Drosophila melanogaster: one gene and its partner. The protein of the gene in region 1 interacts with the protein of each later gene in a pairwise test. Each region holds a gene or a part of one and is shown on either strand. Other genes may lie near its edges.

Region 1 (3,346 bases):
ATGAGTATATATTGCATAAATTGTTAAATTGGATTAGAATCTTTAAAGAAGTTCAAACTATTCGTTTGAACCCGTTTTTCTTCCCTCTGCTGTGTGGCTGCAAAGAGGTGGATTCCCGGGTGAGCGGTTGTTGCCATATTTTAAGTGTTTTCTGGTTTTTCGGCCACTGTGCACGGTGCTTTTAATTCCTATGGCGGCGCTCGCCTGTAATTTATGTGCTTAACTTTCACACTCGGCTGGCTAAAACAGTCACCGAAAAATCGTCATAAAAATAGAAAATATATATATATATGAACACTCTCGTACTCGGCCATTTCACACTTTTGCGCCTTTCGGCCGAAAAGCGGTGGAAAATGAAAGCGAAGCCACAAGGACAACGGCTAAATGCGGAGGAGGACGAATACATTCCAGTGAATATTTATGAGCAACCAAAGTAGCATTTGTGCTTTACATTCCGACTTTATTGTGGCCATCGTTGCTGAAGTCCAGCCAGTTGTTGTTGCCTCTGTGTGCAACAGTCCCGTCCATCGTTGAAATTCAGGCCGCCCTTTGTGGCTGCCATTGCTTCACTGGAATAAATATTCAAATTGTATGTAATAGTTTATACTACTACTCTATTCTATGAACTCGCATTTGATCATCTACTTAGGTTTTAATATATCAAATATTTCGATAGAAACTATCTTGTTTATTATGATGTTCAACTGATATTTTAATTAAGTTGCTTTTTACTGTGTAATGTTGGCGCTGCTCTTGTTGCTGTTGCCGTCCTCTCATCTCTGTCAGCTTTTCCGACTCTGATGAGTTTATGCTTGGAGCACATATTACTTTATTCCAGAGTGTGCCTAGGCCCCTGGCCACGCCCCCCGCCCATGTGGTTTTGGCCCACCAACACAGGCACATGCACACAGTCGGCCATTCATGACTGTCATGAGTTTTCCGCAATTGATGGTCTAATTATGCCGCCAACACTAAATTTCATGACTTTGCTGGTCGACGAAGGCCGCCGATGATGAGGGGGTAGAGGGGAGGGGGTATTTTCCGAGAAGGGGAATTGTAATTTAATGGAAAAACATTTTGCCACACATCCACGGAGAGCGGAAAATGGGAGCTGAAGCCAAGGGCCACTTTACAGTTTGACAGTCACTGCCAGACGGTTGACATTTTAGCTTGGATTTATGGCCACCTCTTTGAAATGGCTCGTATGTTAATGCAACAGTTTGAGAAGCGTAGTTTTATGGATTTGAGTTTAAGAGCCCTTTTTGTTGAAAGCACATAATCATATAACTTATGGAGGCATTTACAGCAGCTGAAAGGCAGCTTATTATAAAAAACATATTTCTTATTAAAGCTAAAATATTAAACTTTACCAATAAGAAGTAAACTATTTAGATGAATAAATGTATTCTAATCAATTTAAGAGAGGTATAACGTTACTATTTAGTTTCTATTAGCTTATTTTTACTATTTGATTAAGCCAATTAGCTAGTCATATTTTTTGTAGCCGGCTAATTGAGATCCACTCAATCGAGAACCGCTGTCGGGCCTCCAGTTGGATCTGTAAAGCCGAACTGGTAATTATCATACCGAAACCAATGGGGCACATCAAAATGTTCACACTTCATAATATTTGCATATTAATGTGCATGTATAATTAGCTTCGAAATAATTAATGCCCGAAAACAAGAAACCTAATCGAATGCCTAGGCAAAAGCAAGCATCTCCCAATTAGAATCCATGGCATCGGAGAATATTTGATGTGTGAAGTTAGTTAGCCGGAGTTAGTTCTCACCGAGAGTTTCGAGTGGAAGGTCTCTGGCACTAATAAGTCTTTAAATATGTATCCAAATTGGCTCGTTCTGCTCCACTTGCCGCTGGTTTGTTTGGGAGTTGTTTCGCAAACATTTGCACAGCCGCTGACAAAGTAGGTCGTGTGAATGTGCTGGAATGAATCTCGCCCAGTGTGTGGGTGGTGGTTAGCGGGTCAATCTATTGAGCAAACTATTTGCTTACAGGCACCACAACACCGGCATCCTGAGCATCAATCGGGCGGAGGGACAGAAGATTGAGGAAGCCGCGCTCCAGCAGCATCTGCAACAAATCACGGGCAGCGAAGCGTTGGCGCCATTGTTGCACGAGTTACTGGGCCAAACTGTGCCAAATTGGCAGCAGCCACAGCAGCAGCAGAAACATCAGCAGCCACGGCAGCAGCAGCAGCAACACTACCAACAACAGCAACCAAAATGGCAGCAACAACAGGCCACAAATCAACCGCAACAGGAACAGGGGCAACACTTTTTTGTTTATGAAAACGCCGCGGGTCAACCACCTCAAATATTGGCCGGGTTCAATGGCGTCAATGTGCAACCTGAACAACCAGGCCAGCAACTGCGTCTCCAGCCAAAGCCAATTCAGACGGCACAACAATATGGAGGAGTCGGGCCAAAAGTCGTTAAGGCGCCGCCAGCCGCAGCTGCAGCCGTTTGGGCGCCACGAGTCGAGAGCCACCCGCCGTAAGTAAACACTGAAAACTACCAACTTATATAATCCATTATTTGCATTAAACAATGCATTTTAATTAGCCCATACCCATCTGCGGCAACTGCAGCGCCAGCAAGTTGCCAACTCGGCAGGAATCCGTCGGAAGTTGCCGCTCCTGCCAGCCCCAAAGCCACGCCCCCCGCGCTATGTCCGCCTCCTTCGGGTGGCCAGGAGACGATCCCCTTGCTCAGTGCTGCGGCGCTCAAGGCGACAGCTGGTTAAGTTTTTAATTAAATCGCTGGCATAATTAATAAAGATGCGCATAGAGAGTCGGGCAAAGTGTTGCATACTTTTGGGGCGGCCGATCGCATGGGTGTATTGGTTGCCGTGCACATGTGTGTGTGTGTACTCAATATTCATTCATGTGAGAGCAGCAGCTGTGTCAGTTACTGCAAAAAAAGTGAACTGGCTTTTTTGAAAATATCTTTATTAAATTCGAGGATTTTGAATAACCTTGAATAAACAGATGTAACAGATTCTAGATTTTTCTAGAATTTTTTTTTCTAATCCGTAACCAGATTTGGCTTCCAATCTCCCAAAGCCCAGAAAGAACTCGAACAATACGTATGAGACTTATTTGTCAGCGTGCCTGCTCCGGCCTAGCAGGACCTCCGCCCACCAGGACTCGTTTCGAGCTGTCACCGAACTCAGCATAAAAGTAAAACATTCAACTAAAAACAATTTCTAAAAATATATGTGTACGAATATAAAACATGCAACACGAAAAAACCGCACAAAACACTTCACGTTGAGTGCGACTCGCAAATTGTGGGGCGTCTGTGTGAGTGAGCTGCACCACCGACAC
Region 2 (4,653 bases), about 10 Mb from region 1:
CTTTTGGCTTCGATAACTGGCGCAACTGTTCACTGTTTTCACTGGCTCAAAGGCGACATAAAGTATATTTTGATTATTTTGTGAGCCAGAAGTTGAGCATTTTAAGGCCCGCCGGCATTTGCATTTCAAATATACTTTTACGACAGCCAGCCAGCCCCTTAGCCTTTGGCCCGCATCCCGCCCGACACCTTCCGCCGCAGGATCTTTTGCTGCGGGCGAGACGAGGTGAGCCACATGGAAGTGGAAGTGAGTGAAATACCACAAATGGCGTGTAAACACAACAAAGAGGTAATAACAATGGATGCCAACGAGGTCCCTGACTTCAAGGACCAATGGAAGGGCGGCAAAAGTAGCCGAGGGGAACTCGTCCGCATTCCTGGAGCCTTTGGGAGGAGTTCTTTACGCAGCGCAGGGGGGGATGGGGGGATGGACTTTGGCACCAAGCGCACCCGCACTTTCGAAAACATTTTTATTTGTTTCTCCGTAAGCTGTGTCAATACACAATAAATTGAACTGAGCAGGAATTTATGTTGGTCCTGTGTGAGGATATTCAGCACCCTATCTGCCCGCTGGCTCTGTTATCGCACTGGGGCGTCAATTGCCTGTAGGCCACCGCCCCCTGGGGACTTAAAAGTTCAATAATATTTATTTGTTACTTGCTCTTTGACAACAAAGCACACGAGATTATACTTAGTCCTAGGCCGTCGTTCATCAAGCCGCGCATATTGGCCCACTCCATTCTACATAATGGCATATTGTCGCACAATACCCGAGACCACAGATATGTCTTCGCCGGGGCAGTAAATTCCGGCCACTAAAGGCGATGATTTTTCAACAGACACCGAGCTAATTTAGTGACCGAATGCCAACGCGGTCACCACCGTGATTTACGGGGTCACCATTTGCACGACTCCAATTATTTGTTGGTTGCCTCGTGACTTTAACCTTAGAGAAAAGTGCTGAAGAACGGATGAGTATATTTCAGCTTAGATTAATGTCAAAATAAAGCTAACACTCGGTTTAAGAGGGAATAGAAATTAACTGCTTAAAATATATATTATATTTTAGGTCGGTTACAAACTGCTAACTCTTAAACTCTTTCATTTTAAAATTGAATAGCTACGAGATTTATATATTCCATGTATCAATCTTTATACCATTTTTAAGAGGCGTCAATTCATATTTTACATCATGGTCGATTTTTGGTGGCGTCGAGCGAACCAATTGATATTCATGTGCGACTAAAATAGGCATTTGTCCGGCGGAAACAAGTGTTTTGTTGGTCATCTACAAATGGCATCCGCGGAATAAAAAATAAATCTTCAATCTTCTGTTGCCAAAGCAGTATTAGCGCGCAGGCGCGAACAAACAGCCGGCAAATAACCCGACGGTTCGATTCCGAAAATTCAGTGCAACCAGAGGGATGTGAACGGCACAAAGCTGGGGAAGTTGGAAACGAACCGGTATGCCACATGAAACAGAGGAGAATCCGATGTGGAACGCTCGACGGAATGGCTATGAATCGGCACTATCCGCCTCGGAATGTTAAGAACTCGATGGGAAGTGGGATGGCGTCGCTCGAACGCGACTCAGTCGAAAATTTGAATCCGGTTCGCGCGGACGTGACTCGGATGGTGGAAGGAAACCCAGACCGCAAACGAAACCGCAACCAGAAGTCAATTTTACGCGTTTATGTCTGAAAGGGACTTGTGCTGAAGAGGCGGGAGTTAGGAAAACAAAATGTGACAACAGAAACGAAGAAAAAAGTTAATGGAAAGTGGCAAAGAAAGAAAAGAAGAATTAAGACAAAGTTAAACCACTTGATGTCCTCTTGGGTGTCCTGTGTCCCGTGTCCTGCAGTGCCGCCTGTCGAGTGTCTTTTGCCGAAATCACTTTTAAAATTTGTTTGCTCCCGCCTTATGCAAATGGATATTAGAATGCCGCGCTGAATTGCGAAGCCGAGGAACAAAAACAGGACCGAAGAAAACAGAGGATTTCTCCAAGGACGCGTAACGTAAAAAAGGGATTATTGTGCATCATTTTGGGCAGCAAGAATAATGCCAAGGAGGGCGAAATAAAAAATATTCTCAAGTCGGATTATGCGATAAATTGTTACTGAAGTGTAAATGTTTTCTCACGTGTTAAATCATTAAATATAAGCCACCCAAGCTGCACACAATTCGTTTAGAGCCCGGCCATATGGCCATTGTTACCTTTTGCCACCGACCTAAAACTCAAAGAAAGCCCATCGAAAGGCAATGTGAAACTTGTTAAACACTATAAATGGTCGAAGTTTTTAAGGTTTTTTTTTGTGCGAAAAGTTTTGGCCATTAGTCATCGAGAACATTGTGTGATAGTTCTGCATGAAAGCCGTGCAAGTTATTAACTTTTAAGAAAGTGAGCCGGGAACCAAGAAAAAGGAAATTCTATGTAATTAATTGCAAAACGATTATGAAAGTTTAAGTGGAAATAAGTTGATTTATATTTCTTGGCAAGTTCGAGCACTTGACTTTTCCATTGATTGAGCTGTTGAAGTAAAACTTCAAGATGTAGAAATATGTTTTCAAAAGTTTTGTTACCATGCAGAAGTGTTAACTCTGTTCAGATTAGTTTTTAAAGAAATACCATTTTTAATGGTAAGGTTATATTTTATTCTTGTTTTAAATACGTATTTTTCTTCACGTGCTTTTAATACTCAATTATATGGTATCCCAAAACCACTTTTACAATCACAATAAAATCGTATGCAAACAACATTTTAGGTAAATGTAGTTATTAGGGATTAAACGGATTTGTGCTGTTCAACAAAATAAGTTTTGGAAGAGACCAAAAAGCTAAATAAACAAATTGGATTACCATGGAATAAAGTCGAGTTCCGATGCCAGTTTATTTGTCTATGCTGGTGCCACTGCATCGCCAATAAAAGTTTGCCACTCAACAAAGGCGAAAACACTTAAATAAATATATAAATCAAGCAACACAAAAATTGTGCAAAACCAAGTGCAGAGACCGAGTAAGCCAACAATGGGTTTGCACGAAAATCGCTTGAGAAAACGCATCGAAAAACTTGTGGCCGACCCATAAAGAAGAATTGCAATTTTTTGTCGAAAGCTAGAAATAAAATCAAATGAAATAAAATAAAATAAAATGAAACAGTATAGAGGTTAGATAGAACCCAAATGGAGGCAAGCCAGGACCCAAGCCAGCCCCAAGTGTATTAATTCAATAAACCTATTTATCTGAGACTTCGACTGGGATTTCGAGAACGGAGCAGAGAATGCGACAAAGTTTGCCAGCCAAGACGGCGCAGTGCAATCAGCAGATCCTGTCTGTCCTGGTCCTGGCCCTCGCCCTGGTCTTGGTCCTAAGGAGCACGAGAAGCCAGATTCGATGCCGCAAACGAGTCCCAATTGGAGGCAGGCGGACAATGAGCGCACAAAAGGCGCTGTAAGTGTCATTGCAGCCAGGAACTGGGCCACTGGGACTGCCACGCAGGACTGGAGCCAGAAGAGCAGCAGTAGCTGGAGCAGCACCAGTCGAAGAACCGGAATCAGCAGAACCAGGACCAGGCCAGCCACGTTGACAACCGAGATGACAGTGGCAGGACGAGCAGAACGAGCAGGAGTAGGAGCGCCGTGGTGTCGCCGATTTTTCCATACATCCCCACTAGCGTCTTGGCTACGCATCAGCTTCGTCCTTTTGGTCCTTCCAGCTCTCGGCTTTGGGATACGTAAGTACAGCTGGGGGGTTTCCCTCACTCCTTGCGTGTGCGTGTGACTTTCATACATTTTTGATTTAATTTAACGCATTCACGTCGCACACTCTAACACACAGTTAACTGGGGATGGAGTCCTATGAACGGGTGGAATACACTTTAGGATTTGATATTCCCTAGTGTTAAACCAGATCCCTCTCTTTGCAAAGGTATCAAATCAGGAAAATGCAGTTTTTACATTTCTTCCTAAATGCACTTTTGTATTTAAACCTTAAATCATGCCTCGTAAAACTAGGAAAACAGCGACATCCTTTCAGTGCATTATGTTCTCCTGTTGTTCTGCCAGATTAACAGGATAAGTATCTCCAACTCCTCGTTTCCTTATTTATTCGGGTACCGGGTGAAAAATCTTATGCGCACTTGGCAACACACACATGGATAATTGTCCTCGTAAGCGGATCCCAAGACGCGAAATAGCTGCTGGCAAATTGTTTTAGTAGTTCTGGATCAGCTGGGGGAGTGGAGGCAAGGAAATTGTCGTTCTTTGAAATTGCGGAGGATGAAACTGGGGGCTGAGCTTCCCGTTGTTTCATTTGATTTGCCGAAATTAGATTAGAAGAAGCCACGGGGCTAGCGAAATGGGAAAACAATGGCCCATAAAAGATGACAAAAAGTTGTGCGGCATTGCGGAGCGATTCCTTATATAGGGGTTCTTCTGGTAATTCTATTTAATAAATAATTTAATTCGAATTTTCCACGTAATTAAGATAACTTCCTTGTGCACAGTGACTAGTTAATATAATTTATTCTGACCCGTAATAAGCACTTGAAGATGAAATATTGAGAAATATGCTAATTATATCGATAGATAGTGTCATTTTTATTCAAGCTAGATATATGTACTTGAAAAAATTGATAACTTAAGATCATGAATGCTT

The links. Proteins that work in one complex are often made in the same cells at the same time.
Region 2: the proteins of CG5386 (region 1) and dpr17 interact in a two-hybrid assay, tested with the Drosophila melanogaster proteins (one large-scale study listed by BioGRID).

The regions. Positions count from the first base shown.
Region 1 is NT_033777.3:22,340,707-22,344,052, reverse strand, and holds CG5386 (uncharacterized protein), read left to right. Parts: upstream 1-1,801; 5' UTR 1,802-1,838; coding exon 1,839-1,924; intron 1,925-2,015; coding exon 2,016-2,513; intron 2,514-2,582; coding exon 2,583-2,763; 3' UTR 2,764-2,817; downstream 2,818-3,346.
Region 2 is NT_033777.3:12,093,287-12,097,939, forward strand, and holds the start of dpr17 (defective proboscis extension response 17), read left to right. Parts: upstream 1-1,589; 5' UTR 1,590-2,014; intron 2,015-2,343; exon of another isoform or gene 2,344-2,762; 5' UTR 2,763-3,390; coding exon 3,391-3,730; intron 3,731-4,653.